4 linked regions of the Alligator mississippiensis genome follow. The protein of the gene in region 4 interacts with the protein of the main gene of each other region in a pairwise test. Links are inferred from orthologs where the notes say so. Each region holds a gene or a part of one and is shown on either strand. Other genes may lie near its edges.

Region 1 (7,360 bases), on a different chromosome or scaffold from region 4:
ACAAACTATCATATGTTGCATCCCACACAGGGAAGACTTGAGCTCTCTGAAACGGTGCAAAAAACATGAGAATCATGGCTCCCAGCTTGGCTAAGGTCATCATTCAGGCTCTTCCAGGGGATCTTACTGGGTGACCCCAGGTGACTATGGGACCATTTTCCAGCCCTTCCTCTGCACATGTCCCCAGAGTAGTTTCATGGGGTGGTATCCACTGGTTCCTTGGACATAGCTGAAGAGCAGCGGGCACCGGCCTGCTGTGCTGTGCTGTGCTTGGAGTCCCCACTCCAATCCCTCGTGATCAACCTGTGACCCCCGCGCCTACCCCAGTGTTTTTCTTTTGGTGCCCCCATAACTAGTTGTATAGTATCTAGCACCTGAACTGAGAAAAGGCAGGCTTATCATTGTGAGGACCACTGTTTTCCAGGATCTAACAAACAAGCCTTAGGATCTTACCACCCTTGGGGGAGGATTTCTCTCAATTTCACCCCACCCTGGAGGGCTGGGCCCAGTGCCCGCTTAACATAAATCTACAGACAGACGTGCATAAGCATACATATACACGTGCTTAACATACATACATACAACCATTTCTGGACAGGACACCGCTCTCCAGTGGACAAGCTTATTTATATTCCACCTTCATTCCACGAGCCACTCAGGACCTCAGCTGGTGGTTCCTCCATGGAGCTGTTGCCACAGGCGTGTATCTGGCACAATTCATGGACACCCCCTACACCTGCCCCTTCTGTGAGCAGAGGGAGACCCTGGCACACACCTACCTGGAGTGCACCAGGCTACAGCCCCTGCTCCAGCTCCTCCAGAACCTCCTGTTCCTCTGCACCATTTCCTCCAGCACCACTCCCTGCAACTTTTTATTTGTGCACTCCACATCTGTGGCCCAACTAAGTCCTAAGACCTCCTGGTCAACCTCCTCCTAGTCCTAGCCAAACTGGCCATCTATCTCACCAGAAAGGAAGCTCTGGCCAAGAGGACCGGGAGGACCCCCAAGGACTGTGGGGCCTGTCCCTCACTTGCTCAAGTCTCTGGGTAGAGTTTCTCCTGGAAGTGCCTACTAGCCCCTTGGACTCGTTCGAGGGCCAGTGAGCACTGTCTGGTGAGCTCTGCTCAGTGTCCCCCCTTGGTGCACTCCTTCTGAACCTCTGACCTCTATTCCCGGCCCTGCTTTGTTATCATTTGTCCCCAGAAATCAGTTGCCACTTTCCCTGTAGCCTTCCTTTTTGAGGGAGGTCTTTAGTTTTATTTAGTGGGCACTGTCTCACAATCCCTTAATGTGGCAAATAGGCCTGGCCCTCACCAAGCTAGCAATATACCTAGGCAGGAAGGAGGATCTGGCCGGGGGTCTTGCAGCAATGGCAGGACTGTTTTTCTGTTCCTTGTCTGATCACATCTCCGGGCAGAGTTTCACAGAGCAGTGTCCACTGGCTCCTTGGAGGGCAGTGGGCACTGTCTGGTGTGCTCTCCTCAAGGTCCCCCCTCAGCGTACTCATTTTGAACCTTTCACCTTCACTCTCATCCCTGTTTTGTCCCTTAACTGTCCCAGGCGATCAGTGATATGTCCTTAGCGGCCTCCTTCATCGAAGGAGGGTTACAGCTCTACTTGGTGGGCTTTGGCCCACGTTCTCGAATGGGAATGGCAAATCAAAAGGCCTGTCCCTCATCCATTCACATCTCCGGGCAGCGTGTCACTGGGCAGTGCCCACTGGCTCCTCGGACTCCTTTGAGGGCCGGTGAGCACTGTTTGGTTATTGTGCTCGGTGTCTCCCCTCAGTGCACTCATTTTGAACCTCTGTTTCGTTCCCCTTCATTTTCTTCTTTAGTTTTCCCCAGTAATCACTTGATGCTCACTTAGATGGCCCGCAAATTAAGGGGGTGTTTAGCTTTACTTGGTGGGCAGTGGCCCGCATTCCCAATGTACATCAGATAGATTTGACAGGACGCCATTCCCTGGGCTCCACTCTCATCCCACGAGTCACCGGGGCCTCAGATGGGAGCTCCTCCACGGAGCTGTCACTACAGGTGTGCGCCCGGCACAGCTCACGGACCTGCCTGATGCCTGCCCCATCTGTGCGCAAAGGGAGATCCCGGCATGCACCTGCCTGGAGCGCGCCAGGCTGCAGCCCCGTCACCGAGGTCCTGAGCGCACAGCTCCCTGCACTGTTTTGTTCACGTGCTCCCCATCCACGGCCCCGCCAAGTCCCAGGAGGTCCTGGTCAACCTCCTCCTGGATGTCACCAAACTGACACCAGATCGACCCAGGAAGGAGGCTCCAGGCGGGAGGACCCCTGAGGACTGTGGCGCTGTTTTCCTGTCCTTTGTGTGTTCACACCTCCAGGCAGCGTCCGCGGGCTCCTCGGACTGGTTTGAGGGCCAGCAGGCGCTGTCTGGCGGGCTCTGCTCGGTGTCCTCTCTCCAGGCACTCGTTCTGAAGCTACGACCTTCGTTCCCATCCCCGTTTTGTCTTTTGTTGTCCCAAGTGATGAGTGATGTGCCTTTCGTGGCCCCCATCACCGGAGGGGGGGGGGAGGTCACAGCTGTAGCTGGTGGGTTTGGCCCACGGTCAGGGTGCCACATGAGGCGGCCCGGCCCGGCAGCGGCCTGGTCGTGTCTCCAGGCCAAGCAGCACTGGGCAGGGCCCACTGGCTCCTCCGGCGCATCCAGGCAGCAGTGAGCACCGCTGCCCCTCGCTCGCTCCTCTCCCTTCACCTGTCTCAGGGAGCCACCCGAGAGCCCCTCCGGCAACGGGCGATGAGGGGGCGCGTGCCTGTGAGTGTGTGCGCTGCGCTGCACACCACACGTACACGTACACGTACACACACGTACACACACACACCGCGCAGGGCGTGTGAGCGCGGGCCCGGGGCGGCCGCACTCACCTGGCGGTAGCGCAGGCGGAAGGGCCGCAGGAACGCGGAGGCGGCGCAGGGCCGCAGCGACAGCTCGTCCACCGCCTCCATGCGCGCGCCGCTGCCCGGGGGCGGGGCCCGGGAGCCCGCACACTCACCGCCACGCCCCCCGCCCCGCCCCGCCCCCGGCACGGGCATCGGCGCAGCATGGACCGGCGCCGGCTCCGGCTCCTGCGGGGGGGTGTACATATATCTATATAGATATATATATTTACATACATACATATGTATGTATGTATGTGTGTGTGTGTGTGTGTGTGTGTGTATATATATATATATATATATATATATGTATGTATGTGTGTGTATGTATGTATGTGCATGTCTGTGCATATATATGTGTGCACATGCATATATATGTGTGTGTATATATATGTACGCGTGCGTGTATGTGTGCGCGTGCATATATGTGTGTGTGTGTGCATGTGTGTGCGCGCGTGCATATCTAAATATGTGAGTGTGCACGTGCGTATATGTGTGTGTGCATATATATGTACGCGTGCGTGTATGTGTGCGCGTGCATATATGTGTGTGTGTGTGCATGTGTGTGCGCGCGTGCATATCTAAATATGTGAGTGTGCACGTGCGTATATGTGTGTGTGCATATATATGTATATATGTGTGGGGGGGGTGCAGATATGCACACATATGCATAAATCTCCACATATACATGTGGATATCCCCACACCTAGATAGATAGCTATAGATACACATGTATGTGTGCTTATATGTGTGTATATGTATACATGCACGTGTGTGTGGATATGTGTGTATATAGAGGAATAGATTACGTGTGTGTGTGCATATATGTATATGTGTGTGCATTTATATGTACCTCAATATATAGATATACATACATGTAAATGTATATATATGCATGTACATATATGTGTGTATATACATATATAGGCACATACACAAATGCATATGTATTTATATGCCTATATTTTATACACATGTATGCATGTGTGTCTATATACCTAATGTGCACACATGTACATGCATCTATGTATACATTGCACACACACACACACATCTGTTTATTTATTGAATTACTCCTACCCCTTTAAAAAAACACCCCCCTGGACAAGGTTATGAACATCTGTGTCTTCTGTAGGGTGTGGAGGTAGCAGAAATCTGGCTCACAAAATGCCACCTCCCTCTTTGTGAGCTTGTTCTAAAGCAAATCTTCACAGAGTTGACTAAAGATTAGTAAATTCAAAACCTAGGGCTTTTGGATTTCTGATATTTTCTGAAACGTGTGTAGGAAGCTGGGAACATAAACCTCAGCACTGCTGCAATGGTTTGCATTTTTGACTTCACGTAGACTGCACGTATATCTCAAGCACATGTATAAATCTCTGTAGGATCAGGCCCATATTGATAAGTAATGGCTTGGTATTTTTTATTCATGCTGCATTTTCTATAACAAAAATCAATTGTGCATAATATTTTGGGAAATCCAATCAGTCAGCCGAGATTAACAAAACCTGCGGCATGCGTTACAGAAAATAGAAGTGTATAATCCATGTCTGCGTGCTAGACTGCTTACACTAAGTATAAATCTAGATAAGAAGATTAAAAACTATTTTTTTTAAATCCGAACTAGAATGGCAGAAAGAACTATAGCCCCGACTGTAGCTGGACCTGCGCGAGCAGATATTTGCATCCATTCAGAATGCCATTGGCTCCATTTCAGCTATGTGCAGTCAGTCACAACAGGCCAGGCCAGGCCTATCTGGTACCATGTCAACCAGTACAGCCTGCTCCATGGTCCCTGCAAGCCAATGGCCATCCATACCTGGAGAGATGGGCACCACCAAATCACTCTGCCTGAAGAATCACTAATGATGCAAAGCAACTCAACTAATCTCAAGGGCTGTTACAGCATCTAAAGTGCCCCAATAGTTGCAGAAGCCTTGGGACTGACTTGGCTTGACTTGCAGTCAGTCACAGGACGTTCCACCCATATGTATGCACTTGGAGAAGTGGAGCCTAAATTACCAATCCTCTGAATGCTGAATACATCTACTACTATAAGTATAATAAATCTCACCAACAGCCAATATTGCCAATTTTAGCAGTTTTATTGAGAGTTTTGCAATATGTGGTATTTTTCTTAAAGCACTAGATTCTAGAGTCAAACGATTTTGTGAGATCCTCAGTGCTTATTAAAAGCGTAACAAGTAAATTTCTTTACCTAAACTTCTACAAATCCTAACACTGCATCCGTGCAGGCAAACCAACCTATAATTTGCACTCAGACCTCATGCTGATACAGGGATCAGTTCCTACAGGTGAGCATATATACCATGTAGATGCAATTACAGGATTGGAGCCATAATACCTGCTACAATGAATAATCAATCCTACTGAACTCAATGGGGGTTATCTCCAGTAGTTGGCAGGATGCTTGGTAGATAGTGTTTACAGGATCAGGTCCTTATTTAATGTCTTGTTAAAACATTCAAAAGTCACCCCGCATCATTAGAGTGGCTTAACATAAGGAGTGGGGGGGGGGGGGGGGGTTTGGTTGTTTATGGGTTTTTTTCCTTTGTTCTCTAGTATTTAAGGTATACTCAATGTACAACCACAACATATTGTCCACCCTTTGTCCTCAGTCAGGAGAAGAAGAAATTTGTTATTGTTTTAATAAGTGCTGAGGACCTCACAAAATCATTTGACTCTAGAATCTAGTGCTTTAAGAAAAATACCACATATTGCAAGACTCTCAATAAAGCTTCAAAAATTGGCAATATTGGCTACTGGTAACATTTATTATACTTATAGCAGTAGATCTATTCAGCAAAAAAATCCTACCACAAAGCTGCATCTGATAACTAAGTTACAATGATACATTTTACATCTTTGGCATGTTTTGCTGATCCTTGGAAGAGGCTCTCTGTGAGTACAGGTGTCCTGCATTGCAAGACTTGGGCCCACATCATGAAAATGCCCCACCATATGCCCTAAAACCAACTATTATGTTTTAGCATTACATAAATGCATCATTTCAATCAACCCTATAATTTGCTAGTTTACCTCCACATGACAGTCCCCAAAACAACTGCCTATTCAACTTATCCTGTTTATTAGACTTTCTCAAATATAGTACAGACAAAAAAACGGAGATTATCTTGGATACTTCAGTGCAATGTTGAGCTACATAATTAACTGATAATAAACTCAGAACTTAATCTCCAGTTTCTCACCCTTTGTGATAGTGATTGTGGGGTAGTGACAACATATCAGTAATGCTGCTTGGTACCTGCACTATACAGGGCATATCTACATGTGCAATTAATGTGCCTGAATTTTCTTCATAGGCAGCCCATTGGGATCAAATTGTGCCTGACAGGAACAGCCCAGTTCAGAGCTGTTCCTGCCCTGCTCTGCCTCCCTGCAGCAGCCAGGCAGAGCTCCCGGCTCCCCTGGGTGCCAGCCCTGCAGCTGACAGGAAGCACGGGAGCCACCAGTCCTGATCCTCACGTGGCTGGGAAAGCTGTCCTTGCTCAGTAGAGATGCTGCCTGCCAGCTATGTGGGGATCGGATCCCCATGTGGCTCGCAGGTGGCATCCCCACTCAGCAGGGACGGTTCTCCCAGCCACATTGGGATTAGGTCATGACCTGATCTCCACGTGGCTGTGATGCAGCAGTTCCGGCTGCCAGGACGGGTCTCCCAACCACATGGGGATTGGGTCAGAACCCGATTTCCACGTACCTGGGATGCAGCAGTCCCAGTTGCCAGGACAGCTCTCTTGGCCATGTGGGGATCAGCATAGCTCCTGATCCACACGTGGCAGGGAGACAGCTGCCCTTGTACCTGGCACAGCTTCCCCCGCTCCCATATTGGGACCTAGCTAGACAGCAGCAGGCTCTCTGCTGCCTGGGCTGACTCAGAGCAAAGATGTGCTGTTACTCTAGTACCTGAATTTCCTGGTACTTGTAAGCAGCACATTACCCTAATTTACTGTACATTAAGTTCCACACATGTGTAGACAGTGACGCTTTACTGCACATTAGATTAGCATAATGTGCAGTAAAGCATCTCATGTGGATGCACCAACAGTGACATTATCTTCAAAGCACTGACAGACAGGAAGTATTGATGAACAGGAATAAATCTCTCTTCTTAATTTACACCTACTGTGTCAGATTTTTCTTTCTGTTTCAAAACCGAGTCGTATTGATCTTGCAGCCTAAAGTTTCTATTCATTCACATTTTGCTGCTACACATTTGCTTACAAGCTGTTTTACGAACGTCATTTCCCTCATTACTGAATTTAAGCAACAGCCACATCATGTCTAAATACCATGTTTTAAAATGTGTAAAAAACTTGCTGTCCCCACTAACTTGCACATGTTGTGAATCAACAGCTACTCATTAAGAGAAAAGGGACTTAAATCAATGCTTTTGAGGCCAATAGGAGTTTTTG
Region 2 (7,952 bases), on a different chromosome or scaffold from region 4:
CAAAGGAATGGGATCAAAATGGAATATGGCAGGTATGTCCCTCACCCTGCCTGTCTAAGAAGGTTGGTTCCCACTGTGGTACAGAAATAGGGGGCAGGGAGAAGGGACTAAGAGGAAATGCATGAAAATAAGATGGATAGAAAACTATGCACCTGCTTTTTATAGCAGTATTCTCTTGTATTTGTCATTTTTGCTTTGACATTAGATACTTCCACAATAAGGAAGAACTTGGAACATTGCAGTGTCAGAATCACAACACATGGCGGCTCAGGTTGATTATCTATACTGGCTGAAGGTCTGTTCAGTACCAGCTCCCAGCTCAGCTACTCCTACGGGATCCTGTGGTGAAGGCACAGCATGCCATTGGAACCACCATCATAATTTCCATGTTTCCATGGTAACCATGGATCTAAAAAGAACATCACATCACTGCAACACAAAGCACAAGCTGGGCTGAGGGAATGCCCCTGTGTAAACCTCACAAAACAGACCAGCAGAAAAATTTAGACAGCTGCTTGCTTAGTGCAACTCCAGCCCTATACACACATCTCATCCTTTCTTTACAACGCACACCAGCATTAGAGTGGCCGTCAGGTCAGTGTTGTTCACCAGTCCCTCACTTACTGTCATGACAGTCTGCACCGACTTAGAAACTCCTCCCCTTCCAGCCTGGGCCTAGCTTTAGAAGACAGAGGTTGGCTGCAGGTCCAATGTACTCTGTGTCCTTGAGGTGCATTTGCAGTGCTGCTCACCTTGATGTCATGCAGGAAGATGCGACCACCCCGCTGATTCTGCAGTTTCATCAGTTTCTCAGCGTGTTCACGCTCTTCGTGCGACTGGTGCAGGAAATACTTGGCAAAGTTTTTCAGAGCCACATCATCACGGTCAAAATAGTAAGACTGAAAACAAAATTAAGATACTAAAGACTTTGGCCAACAAGTCTCACAGCTATAAGGAGCAAATCTGCTACAAACCCAGATATTCTCAGTATTGCCCTAACTATACAGTAGCCAGACCAACGGAGAAGCAGCTGCCATGATGGCAAAAGTTTACTGGTAGGAGAGCTTGTAGTAATTTGCCATTTAACCAACTGACAATGGCTATTAACTGCCCTCAAGATTGGTGGGACAGCTCCCACCAAGAGCTCAGCTATTCTACTACCCAATACCAGATATTAAGTAGCTCACTATGCCTCTTTCTCATGCTGTGACCAAAGTCTAGACATAATCATAGCTTAGATTTCCAAGACTGAAATGGGTATTCTTCACCTGAGCAACACTTCACAAATTATAGAATCATAGAAAACTAGGGTTGGAAGGGACCACGGGAGGTCACATCCAGTCCAACCCCTGCTCAAAGTAGGAGCATCCCCAACTAGATCATCCCAACCAAGGCTTTGTCTAGCTGGGTCTTAAAAACCTCCAAGGATAGAGACTCCACAACCTCTCTGGGTAGTCTGTTGTAGTGCTTTACTGACCTCCCGGTGAGAAAGCTTTTCCTAATATCTAACCCAAATTTCCCTTTATACAACTTGAGACTGTTGCTCCCTGTTCCATCATCTGCCACCACTCAGAACAGTCTAGCTCAGTGGTTTTCAACTCCATGGTCCATGGACACCTGGGGGTTTGTAAACTTGTCTAAGGGATCTACAAAAGATGATTATGATCAATCAAAAGTATACAAATACCCACACTTACAATTCAAAGGGGCCTGTACCACCATTACAGTTTTTAGGGGGTCACAAATGGGGGGGAGGAAAAAAAGAAAGGTTGAGAACTACTGGTTTAGCTTCAACCTCCCTGCAAGTAGTCAGAGGCTACTAAATCCCCTCAGTCTTCTCCAGACTAAAGCCCAGGGTGCCTCAGCCTCTCCCAAAATGATGCTGGAAGACCAACTGCAGCAGGGAGACAGTGCCGTGTTCATGTTCCCCATCTTACTTGCCCACCCAACACCAACACTCAGACTGGCTGTCTAGAGAGCAATGCTACTCCAAACATCCATGAAGAGGGCGATTTTGACAGTTCTGGGGCCAACCTCGCTTTGCTGAGCCTAGCTTCAGAAGGTAAAGTGCGAGGCACGCCCCTGCATGTGCTGGGAGAGGAGAAGATGTCTGCCAACCAAGGCACTACGCACGGCTGCACCGTGGGGAACACGCTTGGCAAGTCAGGAGCCCGGGGGAGGGGCCGCAGTAGCGAATCCCGCTCTGAACAAGCCCGGATGCCTGGAGCTGGCACAAGGATGCACCCCTGCTCTTCCACACTAGGGCTCAGAGCCACCCCCCCGGCCTTGTTACCCACAAGGCACAGCCCAGCTAGAGCACTGCAGTTGGCGCCCACCAGCCCCGGGATGCGCTGCACTAAGCGCAGGGGAGCCGCAGCCCGGGAGCAGCAGGCCTGTGCGCCCGAGGCCCAGCTGCGGGCTCCCCGGGGAGGAGAAGGGAGGGGGGCGGCGCCGCCCGCTATCGCGCGCCAGGTGCGGCCGGGCCCCGCGATAACAGCCCCTGCAGGGCCCCGCGCGCTGGGCGGCACCAACTGCGCCACCGCCACGGTCGGGGCCGCCACCACTCCCGCCCCCCCCCCACTCCGGGCACCAACTTGGTACAGCCCCCCCAGCCTCCGCGGCGCCTACTTGGTACTCCCCCCAGCTCTGAGGTGGTATGTGTCGCCCCAGCCACGGCGCTGAGATGGTATGCCCCCCGCGGAGGGGGTTGGTACGGCCCGAGGGCGAGGACGGGGCGCTTACCATGCTGAGGTACACGTAGGAGGCGTAGAGCTCCAGGTTGATCTGCCGGTTGACGGCGGCCTCGCAGTCCTGGTGGTAGTTCTGCCGCACCTGAGAAGGGGACGTGGCCATGGCGATGGCGGGGCTACGGCTTCGGCGAGGAGGGTCGGAGCGGGCAGAAGCGGCGGCAGGTTCCGTCCAAACACTGTTGAAGCAGGAACCGCCCCCGCTAGGCTGGCGCGACGCTGCGCTTTGCTAGGCTACAAGTACGAAGGGACTGTGCCTTCTGAGCGCAACCCCCCCTGCGGCAGCTGCCTTTATAGACCGCGGCGCGTCACGACGTGGGCGGGGCCCCGGCGCGTGGGTTACGTCGTGGCCACGCCCAGCTCAGCCTTCTGCTCCGGCGAGGGGGGCGCGCTCCCTGGGGCACCGCGGTGTGACTCAGCAGGCGCCCGCACGGCTGCTTGCCCCGCCCCTCCCTGCCTGGGCACGAGGCGGCGGTTGCGCCTGGGGCGCTGCTACCCCTGGGCCACGCGCGCACGCCCACACCCGGGCAGCTGGCCCGGGCCCCGTGCACACCACAAACACGTGCACAGCTGTGCAGCTGGCCCAGGTCCCTTGTACGTCACACACGTGCACATGCGCACAACCATGCCGCTGGACAGGGTCCCTTGCAACATACATGCGCATGCGCAATCAGGTAGCTGGCCTCGGTCCCTTGTACCCCCCCCTCCCGCCACACACACGCACGCACGCACGCACGCACACTCACGCTACGGAAACTTAAAAACATAGACCACCTTCCCAGCAACACACTCCTAGCCACCATGGATGTTACCAGCCTATACACCAACATCCCACACCAGGATGGCATCCATGCCTGCCTTACATATCTACAGGAACAAGATTACAACCCAGAATACAGACCCAAAGATATCGCTGAGCTTATACACTTCACCCTCACACACAACAATTTCACTTTTAATAATCAACACTTCCTCCAGACGATGGGAACAGCTATGGGCATTAAAATGGCCCCACAGTATGCCAACCTTTTTATGAGCCACCTGGAAGAAGACTTCCTCAAGAACTGTACCATCAAACCCTTGCTGTACTTACGATATATCGATGACATCTTCATCATTTGGAGTGAGAACCTGCAAACTCTGATTGAGTTCCACCAGAATGACTACTACACATACACACACACACACACACACCATGCCACTGGCCCATGTCCCTTTTACCCCCCCCAACACATACACATACAAAACCATGCCATTGGCCAGAGTCCCTTGTAACACCCATACGCACATGCGCACAACCATGTCGCTGGCCTGGGTCCCTTGTACCTCCCTCCCAACACACACAACCATGCCACTCGCCAGGGTCCCTTGTAATGCACATACACACAAACATAAGCATGTCGAGTGCCCAAGTCCCTTATACCCCCCCCCCCACAAATATAAACACAACCATGCCACTGTCCCATGCCACTTGTACTCCACGCACATACACAACCATGCCGCCAGCCAGGGTCCCTTGTAATACACACACAACCATACTACTGTCCCGTGCCCCTTGTACCCCCACACACATGCAGATACACATACACAACCATGCCACTGGCATGTAGCGCCCCCCTCCGGCCGCATGATCACCCAGGTTGTGGACACCCCAAGGCAGGTCTCCTCCTATACCAGAAACACTGCCCCTGAGCCTTTGGGGATTTCCGTTCGGCTTTCAATGTGATGTAGGACCTAAGAAACCAGAGTGGAGTCATTCTTACTCAGTCCACTAAAAAGAGCGGCTACGTGTGCACAATTCATGACGTGATCTCACCGAGACTTCACTTTCATGGCAGGGGGACATGTTGTGGCAGAGGGCACATCCGCGCCTGTGGCGCTCCGTGACAAGACATTCTGCAGTGTCTCTCCTGCGGAAGATCACACAGAGCTCTGCAAACGCTTTGAATAAAGAGTTGCCATTGTGGCTTCTGTGGCTCTCCCTGGCTTTATGGAGGGCTGGCTACAAACAGAAATAAGGAAGCATGGGAATGCTTTGTCCTGAGATGGGGTCTGTCAGTGCTCAGATCTGGTTTCCTTCTGTGAAGCAGAGGGGCATTGGTATCGCAACTGAGGTAGTTGGTTTCCAACAACTAAATTGCCTTGCATAAAAAACAATTCAAAAAGCCAGAATGACCCAAAACTTCCAGACTGTAAAATAAAGGCAAATGCAGCCCTTATTTACCTCTATACCACTCCCATGATATCATCAGTCCCAGAGTAGTAAACAACACAATTTTGCCTGAAGGACCTGAAAGAAATTAAGTTAGGGGTTACTGTTGTTCCAAGAGAATTAAAACTAGTTGGCTTTAATTACTACAATATTAAACAACCCAACTGCCTAACAATTAAGGTATTCTAGAAAAAAAAAGTTTCCTCATAATCACAACCCACTTATCAGTTATTTTTCGAGCGGCTTGTTTTGAAGATGAGAGGACTTACACAGGAAATGAGTGTTACATTATTGGGTAACAATGATCGCCTATTCAGGTTTGACATCACAATAGGCAGAGATTTCATGGAGATCACACAACAAGAGTGAACTATTTTAAACTGGAGAGGAACAGTGTGAAAAACCTATTGACCTGGGTGCTATTTACAGGAAAATAAGTAACCATCATATAAAGGGCAAAGTTCCTGGTAAGTCAGCAGGAACAAATGTAATTGTAAAATACTGCAACTCATCCAAGTTGTTACTGGGATTAGCATTAGGGCCTGGAGTTCATTTTATACCTACTTGAAGAAGTGAACAGCAAGTTGTAGCAGGGCAATGATGTAGGAGGATATGACACTAAAGAAGAAGCCTAGTAAGAAACGGAACATATTCCTGGCTTTAATCACTGATCTGCATTACGGTTATATAATGAGAGGTGTCAGCATCCATTGACTGCACAGTTAATGGAGTACATACCTTTTTAATTCAAATTGAATGCAAATAAAGACATGAATGGAGTTAAAATAAGAATAAAAAATTAACATGGCCATTTAAAAATAAAGTAGGAAGTCAAGGATGAAAACTTAGGTAAAAAGGTAGAAAATTTGCACCCTTTGTAAAGATGAATATTTTGTCTCATTCAGTACTACTAAACCCCAAGAATTCAAAAACCATGATTTTCTTTCCTTTTTTCTTTGATAAATAAACATTGTATTCTTTGAATTGTTGCATGGTTACTGAGCTGTTTGCATGCACTTGGGTCACAAACGTAACCATGAAGGCTAGGCGCTTCCTCTTTCAATTGAAAGCTGAGGTTACCACATAAACCTGTGATTTTAGAAGCTAGGACTTCAAGAAATACACCAAATATCACAGGAATCCAGATAAAAGGACAAGAGTTTATTTGATATTGTCAGTGATAGTACACTTTGGTGGTGTGTAGATGTCTTCAGACCCTCCTCTAGAACTGCCCATCAGTTGCTTTGGCAGGTTGCTAGCCATGCTTCCCCACACACCTTACAGTCCCCCAACTTACAAATAAGATAGCTCTTTGACATTCTTTTCTTAGTATTCTTCATGTTCTAGTTTTCCGGTACATTGCTCCTTTTGCAATTACTTCCGACTTACTATGCTTGACTCGAGAAGCTTGCTGGATCCTGGTTATTGTTTCTCTGTCCCTGATAAACCTGGACATTGGTGACTGTGACAGATCATTTCAAAGTGTGTTGTAGTATTCTAACAATACTCAGCCTGCAAAGATTTCATTCTTAATCAAGTTCTGAGCTATTTGAACTGATTCCTGCTAACCCCTTGAGTAGGCAAGAAATGCCATCTCAATCACTGGTAAATTGTGAGTCACTTTATTTACTTTCTGGCACCTCCTAGTGTTTACAACACATTCTTGCCTTGTTATTTGAAGTATTGTGCAACACCTCTGCTTAAAAAACAATTCAATTGTAGTTCACTAATGAAAGGTAATCTTTACATTTGATTCAAATAGTCCTTGGGCTAAGGCTGACTAGGAGTGTCACGCAGTTTCATTCGTCAGGTATCCAAAGTGTAACCGTATTGGTCTGGAGGCAAAAGGAATCAGAACTTGTGGTAGAGGTGATACCTTTTATTAGGCCAACTAGATTTTTGCAAAAAAAAAGAAATCTTTAATTGCTGAAAGCTTGCAATTAAATAATTTTTAAAAGATATCACCTCTACCACGAGTTCTGATTCCATGTAGTTTCATCGGCTCTTTTAGCGAAGGCTATTGCTTGGATTCCCAGATTTGCATTAGCTAAATAAATAAATTGGCTCTTTTGAACTCTGCTTACGCAGGTTGTAACTTGCACACTTACATATTTTACTTTCTATTATAGTGTTCATGCTCAGCTAGAACCAGACATTTCAGGCTCTGCCCTTCCACTTCATATCCATGTGGCCACTGTGGAGTATGCTGTGCATTTCCAACATCAGTGTCTGGTTTTACAATAGTGTCCTTTATCCAGAATTCATCACATGTGACAATTTCATGTTCATAGTTTCAATAAAAGTTCAGCTTGAAGTACTTAAGATTCTTCTTTTGGCTATCCCTTTAGAATTATTCTCCCAAGCTTGTGTAGGGCTGTATTTTTCATTTGGGTTTGCCCAATTTTGTTTTAGAAATGGTGGTGTGTGTCACATTATCTTCACCTTCTTTTCCTTAAAACTTCTGGCTATAATAAGACAGTCCTGCTATAAACCACTTACCTGACCTGTATTTCATATTTCCTGTGTACCCATGCTTCATAATCATTTCCTGAAGTCTTGATGGTGCTTTGTACAATCATTTCCTAGCCCAGGGGTTTTCAACCTGTGGTCCATGGACTCCCAGCAGTCCACAGAGTATATCTAAGTGGTCCACAAAAGATGACTATGATCAATCAAAAGTAAGTGAATACCCACACTTACAATTCTAAGGGGTCCGCACCTCCGTTCAAAATGTCCAAAGGGGTCTGTACCTCCATTCAAAATAGGTTAGGCAAATTAAATGAAAGCAAAGCAAATGAAAAATGGTTGAAAACCACTGGCCAAGACTATTGTTTCCAGGGGTTTAATTTTTTTCTCTTCTAGTTGATTACTGTTCATAGTTATATACATGAAACTGCTCACAATTACAGTTTCCATTTTTTTTTTTTTTCAATCTTGGCATGGTTTTGCAGTGCTTTAGTCAGTGCTCAAAGAAAAGAACACTACAGTCCAAA
Region 3 (7,842 bases), about 99 Mb from region 4:
GGCAGTTCTGTACAGCAACCATGTCCCATTTAACAAATTATGTTTGTTGCCCGTGAATCTGAACACGCTTGGTACAATCAGAGATGGAGAAGGCCATCCTTACTGTGCTAATATGTAGTTGTTATAAGCAATTAGTAAAAGGAAATATAAATTCTGCCCTTTCCAATCTTAAAAAAACATAATGCTTACAAATGGTGATGCACTGATGACAGCCTTAAGCATTCATAAGTACAAGCAACTGTTGTATAGTATCTTTCTGACACTTTTCCAAGTAACCATTCCTCCAACAGCAAACTGCACTGCACATATAACTGGAGTATGGACAAGGCATACCCATGCTAGCTTTTAGCTAGCTAACAAAGGCAACAATAGTGCTGTCACACCTTCAATACAACTACATCATGAACTTGCAACCAAGAACATACTCCAAATACAGGAAGGTTAGCACCTTCATTGGGTGACTGCTGGTCTTAGTTAACCTACACAGCATTAATGAAGATGTGGCAGCAAGGTTAAAGCTACCCCTGCTATGGACACATCTTCATTTCTGCTGTGGATGCCCTCAGCAGGAAACACCAAAACATGTTCACTTTCTGTGCGGACCCATTCCAGTCCTGGGCCTCTGTCCAAGATCTCCATTGTGAGAGTGTACTGTAAGGGAACTGTATAGTCAATCGTGACCACATGACAATTAATAACTAGCCTAAGGAAGGTTTATTTCACAAGAAGAAGATACCATTTGTAGGAATTATTGGTCTTTCAGATCACTGATTTTAAGGGGGGAAAAATCTTGTATACAGAAGACTTTTCAGGGATAGCACAGAAAGTTAGTGAGATGTGTACAATTTGCTCATGTAGACTAAGATATTACCTTAGACTAGTGATGTCCATCTGTGGGCCAGATCCTGCATGGAAGGCCACATCATTTGGCCCTTGAGTCTCCCCATGGGTCCAGAAATGTTGCAGCAGGAGGAACAGTAACTAATGCAGTCACTGCTCCCCTATCACCAAATTTCCAGACCCATGACCTGATTGACACATTTCTGTAGACTAGTCCTAGCCTGCAGGCTAATAGTTGAGCTCCACTGCCTTAGACACTATGCAGCAACAAAAGCATCTCTCTCTGGTCTGTGGAGCTTTCCAAATAAATCACTTGTACCATACAACAGTTCAAAGCTGCTAGAGCAAGCAGCTGCATGCAGCTTCTGCATCACAGAGCAAAGGGGGCTGTCACTTGGGCAACTACAGAGAGACAGTATATAATAGCACAGGGCAACTTTAAGGCTTCTGACAGATGGCTATAAGAGGCAGCAGATCAGGATGATAGCATCCACTGCCTCCTCAAGGCCTGGCTACAAGCCTGGGCCAATGGTGTCGCTGCCACCAGAGCTGGACCCAGCTGAGTACCAGCTGTCTGTAGAGAAGCGGCAGGCTGAGCTCCTGGAGATCTGCGCTCATTCCAAGTGCCACCACCAGCTGCAGCTCAACAACCTGTGCCACCAGGACCTCAAAGATCCTGCTTTGACCCATCAGACCTATGCTAGAACACACATCTATCCATATTTCAGGCCTGGTGCCAAGACATCAGTATTGGGAATTTTATGTGGGTTAGGACCTATTCTCTTCTTGTGGTAAACCTTCTCAGCAGATAGTGCTTGTAAAGACAGACTGATCCAGGAAGGCAAATATAAGCAACTGTTTCATCTCTCCTCTTGAGCCTGGGAACCAGATGTTGCAATACCGCGATTGGGCCGTTTGCAGAACATCCAACATCTTGTACAACGGTGAGACTGACTCTATATAAAAATAAACTGTATGTTACTCAGAGGGTGCATCTACACACACGCCCAACTACGCAGTTGTTACTGCACAGTCATTTCGTATTTGACTTAGCAAGTACTAAATGACTGCGCAGGAGTAATTTCCAACCCTACTGCACAGTAGCAACAAACTGGTTAGTACTGCACAGTAACATCAGTGTGACTGTTTGTGCCCACTGACGCTATGCTGCTGTAGCTCATCGCTACAGCGACACAGCATTTTGTGTACACTCGCCCTAACAGATGGCACAGCCAGAGAAGAATGACTCAGGGAGAAGTCGGGCTGAATGGGACCTCCAAGTTACCTAGGCCAAGCCCCCGCCCGACTTAGGAGTATCGCTGTCCAAACCACCCTATGCACTCCATCCCCTAAACTCTACGCAAGGCTGCCGTCAGCCCGCACACAACACAGACCTAACACCCTCACCTGCCACAGGCAAAGCAGGGGACCCAGGGTCCTACTTCTAAGAAATGCTGCCAATGTACATTCAAGAGCTCCCAGGATCACACGCCCACTACAGAGGGAGGCAAAGCCCCCCCTGCTCACCAGCCCCAGCTCGTACTGCATCTCCTCCGTGCTTCCCTGAGCTTCAGTGCCCTCCCTCCTACTGCACCTTGCTCAAACCCCAGGGGAGCAGGGACAGCAGAGAAAAGTGCAAGTGGCTACTACTGCTGCAAAGCCCTGCCACCCCAGCCCCCTGACGGAGAAACACCAGTGCTGCCTCCCTCCCGCCCACCTTTTCCATCAGCCTGCTCTGACCATGAGTCTTGCCGCCCGGCATCACCATCATCACTGTGGCTATTGCCGCCGGCTACCATCGTTGCTCCTGCTACCATCGCTTACCTGGCCCGTGATGCCCGTGATGAGCGCGACCTTCCTGGCACTCATGTCGCCCGCCGCGCAGCTAGAGCCGGAGCCGGGACAGGAGGGTGGCTGAGCCATGTGGAACGGGGAGGGCGGGGGGAGCGCATGGGCCGCCCGGAGCCGGGAGGGGGCGGGGCCGCCCAAGGGCGGCGATTGCTCCTCAGGCAACGGCCGCCGGGCGCGCAGGCACTTCCGCGTTCCGCCCCGCCCCGCTGCAGCGCGCCCACCTCGCCCCGCCACACCTGTCTCAACCCCGCTCCCTCCGGGCACTTGAAAAGCGAGAGCCGCCGCCGGCCGCCAATCACGAGCAGCTACAGAAACACGAGCCACCGAACCTGGCGGCTCTCGGGCTGCGATTGGACAATGGCGGCAAAGCCCGACTTCCGGGCTCCCGGGAGGAGGGGGCGGGGCGCCCCCTGCAGGAGGGAGGAGCACACTGCAGCCCGGGCCGCTGCGTTGCTCCTGGCAAGGGGGCGTGGGGCAGCTGGGCATCCCAGGCGGGACGTGAGGTAGCAGGTTGCGCCCACCCCCTCGCATTGGATTCCTGTGCTGCCCGTCCCCTCTGTTCTCTAGAGTCAGGCCAGGACAAAAAGAGTTTAAACTATATACAGGTTTATTAATATATATAATACACACACACACACACAACCCAAAAAGTGATATTAATAAATATATACACTTGTCATATCAGGCTTTAGTCTATAATTGGTGACCAGGAAATGATACCACCACCAATGGCCTCGAACCCAGCACAGGTAAGTAACTGATCTGAAATGGGTAAGCACAGGTAAGTCCAAATAACCAACAAGTAAATACAGGTGAGCAGCAAATAAATACTGGCAAACCACAGGGGGGTGGGTATCAACAAGGGATTCAACAAGACAGATAAATATATATTCAATATACAACAGATAAACAGCAACTCCCATTAGAAATAACAAAATATCAGGCACTATCTACAAAATATGAGGCACATGCACACCCGTCAGTGTACCAAGTCACTGGGAGTACTGGAGATTCCCCTTTGATGCTAGGAGCCTTGGCACTGCTCCAAAAAAGGGGAGAAGGAAGGGCCCCCAGAACCTCTCAGCCCCTCACGGGCTTGCCGGGGACCCCTTCCTTGCAGGGCCCTCTGCTAGACCCCCTTCCAGGGGCTTTCTCCCCTGTGGGAACCCTTTCCCCAGTAACTCGCAGCTCCCGTGGGCTATGTGGGGTCCCTGTCACCCCAAACTTGGTTTCTTTCAGCTGATGAAGATGTAGGCCTTTGGCTCCTGCAGGGCCTCTGATCCCCTCGCAGCCCTGTGCCCCACTTCAGCCACTGAGGGCTCTGCCTGCTGCTCATGGTTGGGGGCTCAGGCCGTCTTCTGTGGCTCCGAGACCCAGGTCCCTGCCTGGGACCAGGTGCACAACGAGTGTGCACGTGAGTCCTGGTTGTGTGCCAGGAAATGGCGGACCCGAGCTGCCTTGAGCAGTTCCCAGGGTCAGGGTCCCACTGCACCACACCACACTACCGGCTCTGGGTTTACGGCCTCACGCCAGGGGTTGCAGACCCGAGCTGTCTTGTGCAGCTCCCAGGGTCTCGCCCTGTGCGCCGCACTATGCACCGACTGGGGCAGAAGCCATCTGCCGCTCCTTCTGTCCAGCAAGAGGCGTCTTCAGGTACTCTTCAGGAAAACAGCATCCACCTGCTGGGCTGCTCTTCCTCAGCTCTTTCAAGCCCCGCTCTCTTCTCCATCTCTCAAAGCATCTGCCCGCGTGTCGGACATGCTGTTCTCTTATCCCCTCTGGAGGCTCTACCCCTGGATTGTAAAGGGATCAATTAAGGTGAGGTGGAGCCCATCTACAACCAGGTGTTCACCTTGCCCTGGGTAGGAGTGGCCCAGCCCTTCCCTAAGTGTGACCTAATTGGTGGGAACAGCTATGGCCGACAAGCCTGCCACAAAATGATACAGTAAATTAATGCACATGCCAATTAAGTCTTTTTTTTTTTTTTTTTTGCTTCAATCTTAGATTGAATGCTATAGCTCTAGGCCCTTATATACTAGTGAACCTTCCAGTTTGTTTTTAACTGGAGAAAGATATGTGTTGTGTTCTGTGTGATAATGCACCACATCAGCTATACCCCCTCCTCTTTTCAGAATCCTAGATCTGGTCATGGGCTTTCCCCTTCAGCTCCAAGAGCAAAGACCGTCAGCTAGAGAAGCACTGGCTCAGCAGTGTGGGAAGGTAGCAACTAAGCTTGTCTTAGCAGCAGGTATTTAAAACCACCAAAGGATGCAGCAGGGCTGGACAGGCAGGCACAGCTCAACGGGCAGGAACAGTGTTGTGCTTCCCATTTGCACTTTCATAATAAAACACCATTTCTATATGGGTGAGAACAAGAACCTTGAGGAAGAATCAGCACAGGATGGCTGTATCCAGTCCCCCTCACTAGATAGCACACCAGTAACTTGTCTTTCCCATCCACTCTCTGCTCTGGAATTCCAGCTTAATTCCATCAATGTTTTACGCTTCTCAGAGCTCCTTCCATCTTACAGACTGAGGTCTCAGTGATTTCTCTTACACAAGGTTGTTAATGACGGAAGCCTCCCTAATTCATCCTGAGTCTTAGGGCAAAGGAAAAAAATGGCAATTGTCACAACTTCTGGAATCAAGAAATTGGGAACCTCAACAAGAGACGGTATGGACCATATGGTGGTGGAGAACTCAAAGTTTGCACACAAATCAATTTTTAATCCAGACTCATTTCTTCTAAAGTTTTGTGGCTGGCAAAACTGATATCTATTGCTAGTAACTAGAGATTAAATAACTTGACCATGCATCAAGTCTAAAACTCCAAAATCATCCCCACACACACACTTTTTAGTTCTTAGCCACTTAATTGTTCTTTTTCTTTTCATCCAGTTAAGAGATATTGATTAACTGTATACACTTTACAGTCCTAGTATCTGGAAAATTGTCTAGTAGCTTACTGGAAGTGTATTCAAATTTCAATGTACTGGAATAGTCTGCTTCCCACAGGTATACTATATACGTTAGTTTCCGTTTATAGATGTTGCCCAAAGCACAGCCCCAGGTATAGCATGTTCAATCAATGTAATGTCAAGGCACAGAGGTATGTATTGTTATGGCCAGGTCCTAGTTGAGAAGGAAATGTTGCTCTGCACAAAGAGGAAAAGGTCTTTGCAGAGGCACTGCCTGGGAACTTAGGAGGAGCCCAAGATCAGTACACCATGCAATTTGCAGCAAACAAAAGCACACATGCACACACTGAGCTTCCATGCAAATGGTTGTTTGTAATACAGCATTTCTAAGGAAACTTTGAGTGGGTGTTCCAGTCTGATGTTGGGGTGTTGTGCTGTATTTAGTAGAAAGATAAAAATGTAAAATACTGTCTACTTCCGATTCTTAAGGATGCTGTGGTACTTTACAATGGTAATTGCATTTCCTAAAATAAAATTTCTTTTGACAAACATTTTCATTTATTTAATTTGATTCATATGCCACCCTACCCAAAGAAGGCTTAGGGCAGCTTACTATAAAGCCCACAAGGCATGAAACAGAAATAGACCTCCCAAACAACATCAAAACCTTAACAATCTCCACACCACTCACTCCTGCTCCCCTGCCTCTCAGGGAACATTCTCCCCACCCAATGCTTCCCAATCCCCTACTCACATCTGGGTCCTTTGCAGACAGACACCGTCTTCTCACATTCCCCAATGTGCACATGTTGTAGACCCACTGCCACTCCTACTCACCCAGAGAACTGTTCTCTCTTCCCCAATGTTATCCTGAACGACATACCTGACTCCGTTCAAGGAGGACTGTGACTGCCCTCCAAAACCCACAGATTTTTCCCCTTGCCTCCCCCTACTCAGCTCAGTAGAAAAGCAACACAAAACCTGGTCTTCCACTAACAGTTAATTAGGTTGTTGATAGAACAAAAAATTGTTACTATTGTTCAGACAAGGTTCCTTAAGTAAATATGATATTATCTTTTATTAGACTAACTAAAAAGTTGGAAAATTGTTCTTTGCAAGTTTTTTAGTTGGTCTAATAAAAGATATCACATTTACCCAAAGAACCTTGTCTGCTATGTGCTTGGACCAACATGGCTACAACCAACAACCCAGCATTTTGTTGACCATGCAATATATTCACAGTTCTTAGATGCAGATAATCCATTAAGCAGATGTACAAAAGTGCTTAATGAATCTGAGCTTCCAATGGGCTTTGTATTGTAAATCCCTTACAGACTTTTGCAAATTTCCTCTTTGAAATAACAACCAACAGTCAACCTCTCCACCCCCCACCCCCAATTTTAACTGACAAGCTATTTTTCTCTTCCCTTCAACAATATAACATTTTTCCTCCCCGCTATTAGATAATATTTCTGCATACAGGTACACACTTGCCATATTTCATTCCAAGAGTGGGTCCAACAGTTTCTGAACCTGGCTTATTAAGCATCATCTAAAAAAAAATAGTATACTTCATAATATGAAAATTACATTGCACCAATAGCTGTTTTTTTTAATTTGTGTCAAAGAAGATAAAAAACATACTATCAAATTAGCTATTCTTACCACCTTCAATCAGGATTCTTCAGTTAACCATTCAGAAAATATTAGTCTCCATTTTAGAGAGAGATTGGCTGGCTCAAATTATATGATCTGCATTAATCCATTCAAGTGCCATCTTCAGAAAGGAAGTATACTTGTTTTGCAGTTGATATTGACAAGATAGTCAATCAGTTATGCTTCTAGCAATGATTGTGGCAGGTTTTGCAGTATTTTGAGGAATTGCTTCAAATTGTTGTTTCTTTCCATTTACAGCCATCATTATACCACAAAGCAGAGGACAACCTGACAATAAGTAATTTAGTAGGCTACACCTTAGATATAGGATTGTTTTTATATGGGGCAAGGATGTCTCTTTAGGTTCTTTCTCCCACTAAAAACAAGCAAACAAAAATTCTTCCAGCAAATATGAGTTTTCATGTTTGGGTATGACTTCTGACTGATATATCTCTGCCAACCACAGTCCCATGTAGTTTTGTGAATCACAATGCATGTTTCTTGGTGCATCTTACATTGCTTAGAGATGGGGGAGGAGGCTGGATTGAGCTCTAACAGAAAAAGTGGCATAAATCAT
Region 4 (6,863 bases):
ATGAAGTGGCTCAACATCAACATAGAAAGCTGGGAGGAGCACATAGAAACCTATCCATACATGTCACTGGGTGCAGCTTAACATCAAGCAGCTTCGATCCAGGGGATGGAAGCAAAGCAATAAAGAAGAAAGCAGCACGCTGTAAATATGGACTCCAACTCAGACAACATATGGATCCATGAAACTTGTAACAAGCTGTGTCACTCTCAAACTGGGCTTGTCAGTCAGGCGTTGGATCAGGCATCTGACTACTCTTATGTGTACACCATGCTCCAGAGGATTGACAGTTGCCTACTACTTGCCAGGCCCAGGACTGCTAAGCTTCTTGCTGTGAAGCTGCAAGATAAAGTCTAAGTGCATCTTGTCCATTATGCCCACATCAATATTTGATTTAGGGAAGAAATACTAGGAGAAATATGTGGCAATGCTAGTTGCAGTGTTTAATGTGCTACTAAAAGATGATACAACACTGCAGACAAAAGTATGTAAAAGAACCAACATAAAAGGGAATAGAATGCCTTACCCAAACTACAGGTTTATCTCCACATCCTGATCTCTGCTTCCAAAGTGGTATCTGCAAATTACAAGTATTAAGAAGTTCTTTTGAAGTAAGATTAAACAAACAGGTAAGATTTCAGACTATTACAGGACAAATTATTGTCTACTGGCTGACAAACTTAATTGGTTTATGTTTTATCTGTAATAATCATAATAATAAAGCTTCTATTAGTCTGAGGGTTTTTTTGGTGAGTTCCTAATTGGGGATCTATTTTGTATCCTACAATCTGTTCCATCTGTTTCCTACTAGGCTGAGGGATTTAATACATCTCAGGTTCCTGTCCAGTCCTGACTCACACATGCATGACAAAAATACTTTAGGGTCTTTCTTTGGCTTCCCATTATGCATGTGCCTGGGCCATCTTCCCACCACAGTGAAAAGGCCTGAATCTCAATTTGGTGGTGACAAATGAGTGATATGGAAAACAACTTACCATCTTTCTGTCGTTGGATATGAAAATAACATAAAATTCTTCTAATGGATACTGATCCTGGCTTTGGATGTATTCACAAAGCTTCCAAACATTTTCTTCACTGTAAAACACAAGGGATTTTATTTAAATGTCTGCTTCATTCCCAATTCATAAAACTCAGAGCAGGATAGCCACTGTGCTTTTCCCACTTTGAGCTTCTGCCCAGGACTTCCCGCCGACCCTTCCTTTACACACCTGTTTGTAAAGATAAAATTTAGAACTTAGACCTACGGTGTTTTTTTTATAACACAAATCTTCACATACAATTAATAAACAGTATTGCAGTCCAAATGTCTGACGGCTAAGCAGCAGCATTTGGTTGGCTCCAACTAAAATAAATGCTGTGCAGTATCGAGAGTTAGCATTGTGCCAGACTTTTCCCTTTCTCTTTTCCTCTGAAGAAATTACCCTTGAGTTGAGTATCCCTTTGAGCCCCTTTAATAAAAAGCTGGCCTGAAAAGAGAAATGCAGGTGGTGAAACGCATGTAATGTTTTAAATAGAAGGATAGTACAGAAACAATCCTAACAATGCCACTGAACAGCCGTTGGTTGGGGATGATCTATGCGTAGCTGTGCCCATGTTCTTTCGTGGGTATTCCCAGGTTTCTGGGCTTTGCTGGTTACCCCACCCCACCTTTCTGCTATATGTGTCAGGGTGTTTTTAAGCCTCCCCAGAGGCACTGGAGGTTAGCTACAGCAAGCCTGGGGACTCTGGGGTGCGCCAGTGCTCCCCCTGGGACCAAAGCCAGAGGTTCCTGGTTGGAGGGTCTCGCCCCTCCACTCAGTCAGACCCATCATCAGTGGGGTCAGGAAAGAATTGTACCCCCTGGTCAGACTGGTACAGGCTTGGGAGGGCTTTTGCCTTCCTTTATAGCAGGGGGCTTGGCGCTCTGCCCAGGATCTTTTGAGTGCAAACGGACAACATGTCATAGAGGCAGGACGCCGGCTGCTGTGGCGCCCCTGCTCTCCCCCGGGGCAGGCTGGGGTGTTCACATGCAGAGTTGAGAGCACGGTACGCGGGGGTAGCGGGGTCTGGATGGGGAGGACCCAGCTGACCCAAACCCCACACACCACTTGCTTGACCCCATTTACAGCCTGGATGGCCAGGCAGCCTGGCTGGAGCCTCCCATGCCTGAGCCCACAGCAAGATGCGACTGGCCGGCCCAGTCCCCAGATAGGCAATGCTGTTTCTTAGCAGTGGCTCTCGGGTGCCCCCGCAATATCACAAGCATGCATCAATCGATCACTTTTTTGCATAATTCAACTTTGCAAGGGACTCTGGGATGTAGTGTTCAAGAAGACAGTGTTTCCCTTCCGGCCCCCCCCCCGACCGGAGCAGCATTTGCTGGGCTGCTCGGGGCCGGGCGGTGCGTGCCCGCACCCGCGGGGACCGGCTCCCCCGGCCGCTCCCGGCTCCCGTGCGCCCCGCCTGGCAGCGCGGCCCGGGGCTGCACGGAGGGCCGGGGCCGGGGCAGCCCCGCGCCCCCGCACACGTGCCCGGCGCCCTTACCAGTAGCAGCTGGTGTAGACGCAGCCGTGCCGGGCAGGGGCAGGTGCAGCGCCCGCCCCCGCCGCCCGCTCCATCGGGCCCGGGCGCGAGTCCGCGGCGTTTCCTTCCCCGGGAAACCCGGCTGCAGCGACCGCTGCCGGCAAGAAGCAGCGCGGCGGCGGGGGCGAGGAGGGAGCCTGCGCCTGGCAGGAGCGGGAGAGGCCCGAGCCCGGTGTCAGCCTCCCCGCACCCGCACCCGCGAGCCGCTGCTCCGAGCCAGGCTGACACGGCACAGCCCTCCTCGCCCGACCTGCCTGGTGCTGTCAGTTTGCACTCAAGAGATGCCAGGCAGCTCTGCCAGAGAGGACGGAAAAAGCACCCCCCCAGTCTGGACCAGTCTGACCAGGGGGAAAAATTCCTTCCTGACGCCAATCTGGTGATCCGTCTGGCCCTGAGCAGAGGGGCGAGACCCTCCAGCTAGGAACCTCCTCCGGCCAGCACCCGAAGTCCCCAGGCTTGGCTGTTGCCAACACCCAGTGCCTCTGAGGGAGGCTTAAAACAGGTAGCAGAAAGGTAAGGGTGGAGGCAAGCAGCAAAGCCCAGAAGCCTGAGAAATCCCCATAGAAGAACACAGCGCTACACCTAGATCGTCCCTGACCAGTGCCTGCATTGGTGACGTGTAGAAGGTGAACACAGGTGCACGTGCACCCCCAAAGCTTGGTGGTGCACCCCTGCAAAAAGCGCCTGGAGGCAGTTGCTGCTTGCCCACCCCCCACCAAGGACACCGCCAGTGGCATCTGCGGGTGGTCCCTGATTGCCGCTGGCTGCTGTTTCCAGCGGCATCTGCGGGTGGTCGCCAACTACCCGTTGCCACTCGCCGCCCCTGCCGCCAACAGTGCCACAGCTGCCTGCAGGAGCTTGCCGCTGCCACCGCTGACAGCGCCACCACCGCCTGTGGGAGCTCGCCATGCTCCCCACAGCCTCCGGGGGCACGCAGCATTCATGAGTAACTGTCCAACCTCTTCTTGGATACTTCCAGTGATGGGGAGTCCACAACTTCCCTAGGCATCTCTTTCACTGCCTCACTGTTTTAACAATGAAGAAGTTTCCCAGGGGCATGGAAACCAGCCAGAGAGAAAGCATAGTTGGTACCTGGTGGGGCAAATACTGTCATAGTAGAGGCAAGTGCTTCCTCTTGGTTGCATTTAAATCAGTGGCAGGAGAAGGAGATTCCTGGACTAGGTTTTAAGCCCCAGGAACTTGCAGATGCTTGAAAGTCTTCTCGGTTACCACCAGCAATCCCTCAATTGGAGGATGATCTCTGCCACAGCTCATTGATGGGTCTTGAGGTGGCTTAGAGTCCAGAGGTCCACCCACAGAAATTGCAGGTCTTTCCGCAGGGGAGAGTAGGCTGTGGGCTGATTCCTCTCCTTTTCCTCCTTCCACTCTCTCTTCTTTGAGGGCAAGACACTTTACCTCAAAACGTTTGAGGCTTCTCAATGCCTGGGCCATAAAACAATGTCTTCTTTAAAGCTGCTAGCTTTACCAAATGCATTCCAGAGTCTCTTGTAAAATTTAATTATGCAAAAGTTATGGATTGATAAATGCTTATGATATTACGGGGACACCTGAGCACCACTAATGAGAAATAGCTTTGCCTATCTGGGGATTGGGCCGGCCATTGACATATGCTGTGTACTAAGGCAAGGGAGGCTTGAACCAGACTACCTTGAAGCATTCAGACTGTAAATGAGGTCAAGCAAGTGGTGTGTGGGGTTTTGAGTCAAACTGAAAGGGGCTGCATGTGTTTGGTCTCTAGAAGTTGCTTTGGGTGTCACTTACCTTTTATAGTTTTAAACTCTTCTCATTAGCACACAGAAATAAGGAAATCAGTGACCGAGGGGTTTAAAGAAGTATTTGGTCTTTCTCACAATGATCAATTGTCCTGTCTTATTGCAAAGGAGGTCTTCTTTTTTCCTGACAACAAACCTAAACTGTCCATATTTGACCTACTAGTACTTCTGTTTTCTATTTTCACAGCTACTATGGCCCCTGTACATCCTGTTGCGCAACTTTCAAAGCAGGCCTGACACTTTCTCCAACTGCTTAAGGCTGTGAGAAAAATTATGTTTTGGTAAGGTTGGAGTGAAATACCAGTGATATTCCAGGAAATATGAGAGGAAAGGTTGTGGGGTTTGTTTTTTTTTTGGGGGGGGGGAGGAGGGGGTGATATCTTTTACTGGACCAACTGTATAGTTGGAAGAAAGTTAGACACTTAGACAGGTCTCTGGGAAAGAATTCAAAAGCTTATCTAATTTTACTCCAACTGCATAGCTGATCTAATAAAAGATATCACCCTCAAAAAATTTTTCCAGAACAAGACAGTTCTTAAAACTCCTGGCTTCACATCAAAACCATGGTGAGGTCTCCAATTAAATGTGTGGATAAGAGAATTTTGGAGTGTACAGATGTGAGGTTTCTGGCTGATGCCCATTTCTAACTGAAATATATTGAACTTTTCTCTTTTTTCTTTTTTTGGGACTAAAATCTTCATGTGAACTCTTCACGCATTTTCTTGCTAAAGAGGAGGGAAGTAAAAAAACAGTCTTGAAGAAAACGGGTTTGCTTTTCATTAAAATAATTTTATTTTGGATTGGAAAGTATAGTGTAACAATGTCTGTTTGGAAGACAGTGTGGTCTTTGTCCTCTCTCCCCTATCAGTTGAACCATATAGTACTAGTAGTGTATTCCCAAATCAGAACCACAAGATAGAAAAATGTATTTAGTAGCCAGTTTTAATGAAAATGTTGGTAACCAGGCCATAATTTAAGAGCTAATGGATTAGGAACCTACAATTAGGCCTTTTTTAAAATCAAGAACTTGTTGCTACTAAAACTAGTAGAGGATTATGCTTTGGGTCTGAGATCTTCGTTTCGGTCCCAGATGACAGCCCGAGATGTGGCTTAGTGCTGTGAAAAGGAATCATATATGAAAAATATATGAAAAGGGAAAACCTTTTTATGCTGATGATTATTTAGTATGGAAAAGAGAAGACTGAGGAGGTATTTGGAGATTAGAAGGAACTTTCTGACTATGAGGATGGTGAAGCACTGAAACAGGCTACCTAGAGAAGCTGTGAAATCTCCATCCTTGGAAACTTTCAAAAACAGTCTGGACAGACACTTGGCTGGGATGTTTTAGTCAGGGATAATCCTGCCTTGAGTAGGGGGCTAAATTAAATGACCTTGTGAGGTCCCTTCCTATGATCCTATGATTTTGGGTTTCCTAATCCATTAATTATGCAAGCAGGTGTGACTGAACTATTAAACAGAACTCTAATCTCCAAAATGGCTCTTACAATATGTCCAGATGTGTTTCCCCCCATCAAATAGGAACCTTGCTGTCATGGGCTGAATTTGGCCTTCTGTACTTGGGAGGTCAGGGAGGTGAGCAGGTAGGGAATCTAGAATGCAGTGCTTCACTGAAAGTTAATTTTACACCTGAGTTGATGTTCACCCAAGTTAATGTTTGCACCAAAAGTTAAAAACAGTTTGCAGGGCTGTGAAATAGGAGCTACATTATCAGGAGCAGCTAAAAGACAGGAGAATTAAAGAAGAAAGGCTAGCTTTATTAGTGGTATGGCAAGACCATTTACAAATCAGAAAGGCTTGTGGAATTAAGAGCTTAGAAAGAATCAAGTAGATGATAATGAGCCATGAAGTCAAGTGACTCCCTCACTGCTACCTGAATAGAAATGCTGCTGCCACTGCCAGGCCCTTTATTTTAAGTCTTGGGTGGAAGAGGAATCAAAGGTGGGAGGTGTGACTGCAACCTTGCGCTTCCCAGATCTGCCCCTGTGCTAGATAAATATCTATTTTGGTTAGTCTATAACAGAGGTGAGTAAAGTCCAGGCTATGGAACCTGCATCGCTGTGGATGGTTTCCATGGAGACCCCAGCAGCGGGGGCGCTGGCCAGGGTTTCCATGGAGATCTGCCTCAGCAGAGCTGACAAGCCATGCAGCTGGGTGGGGAGCTGCGTTGGGGCTGGGATCTTGCAGTGGGATCTTGCAGAACTGGGCCAGAGCTGCGATCTGTGGCCCACACACCCCAGGCTGGGATGTGCAGGCAGCGGATCACAGCTCTGCCCCAGCTCCAGCCCACGCTGTCACCACGGCAAGATTCCAGCCCCGGCCACAGAGCCTCTCCCCGCCCAGCTGCATGCTGGGGCCGGTCTCCATGGAAACTCTGGCCCCACACTGTCACAGACCCCACTGCTGGGGTCTCCATGGAAACGGGCCACAACTGTGTGGGCAGGGGCTGCTGGGCAATGGGATCCAGCTGCA

Evidence for each region.
Region 1: the proteins of NTAQ1 (region 4) and NUDT14 interact in binary tests that used the Homo sapiens proteins (3 or more experiments, as listed by UniProt). The two-hybrid records come from large-scale screens. The link is inferred for Alligator mississippiensis from reciprocal best matches to the Homo sapiens genes NTAQ1 and NUDT14.
Region 2: the proteins of NTAQ1 (region 4) and FTH1 interact in a two-hybrid assay, tested with the Homo sapiens proteins (2 studies listed by BioGRID and IntAct). The two-hybrid records come from large-scale screens. The link is inferred for Alligator mississippiensis from reciprocal best matches to the Homo sapiens genes NTAQ1 and FTH1.
Region 3: the proteins of NTAQ1 (region 4) and GMDS interact in binary tests that used the Homo sapiens proteins (3 or more experiments, as listed by UniProt). The two-hybrid records come from large-scale screens. The link is inferred for Alligator mississippiensis from reciprocal best matches to the Homo sapiens genes NTAQ1 and GMDS.

The regions. Positions count from the first base shown.
Region 1 is NC_081825.1:290,254,600-290,261,959, forward strand, and holds the start of NUDT14 (uridine diphosphate glucose pyrophosphatase NUDT14), read right to left. Parts: upstream 3,004-7,360; 5' UTR 2,976-3,003; coding exon 2,895-2,975; intron 1-2,894. UniProt on the Homo sapiens protein: Hydrolyzes UDP-glucose to glucose 1-phosphate and UMP and ADP-ribose to ribose 5-phosphate and AMP. The physiological substrate is probably UDP-glucose. Poor activity on other substrates such as ADP-glucose, CDP-glucose, GDP-glucose and GDP-mannose.
Region 2 is NC_081825.1:179,165,667-179,173,618, forward strand, and holds the start of FTH1 (ferritin heavy chain), read right to left. Parts: upstream 3,017-7,952; 5' UTR 2,854-3,016; coding exon 2,743-2,853; intron 900-2,742; coding exon 753-899; intron 1-752. UniProt on the Homo sapiens protein: Stores iron in a soluble, non-toxic, readily available form. Important for iron homeostasis. Has ferroxidase activity. Iron is taken up in the ferrous form and deposited as ferric hydroxides after oxidation. Also plays a role in delivery of iron to cells.
Region 3 is NC_081826.1:119,358,346-119,366,187, reverse strand, and holds the start of GMDS (GDP-mannose 4,6 dehydratase), read right to left. Parts: upstream 3,018-7,842; 5' UTR 2,764-3,017; coding exon 2,665-2,763; intron 1-2,664. UniProt on the Homo sapiens protein: Catalyzes the conversion of GDP-D-mannose to GDP-4-dehydro-6-deoxy-D-mannose.
Region 4 is NC_081826.1:20,601,386-20,608,248, forward strand, and holds the start of NTAQ1 (protein N-terminal glutamine amidohydrolase), read right to left. Parts: upstream 3,018-6,863; 5' UTR 2,616-3,017; coding exon 2,542-2,615; intron 1,093-2,541; coding exon 993-1,092; intron 575-992; coding exon 524-574; intron 1-523. UniProt on the Homo sapiens protein: Mediates the side-chain deamidation of N-terminal glutamine residues to glutamate, an important step in N-end rule pathway of protein degradation.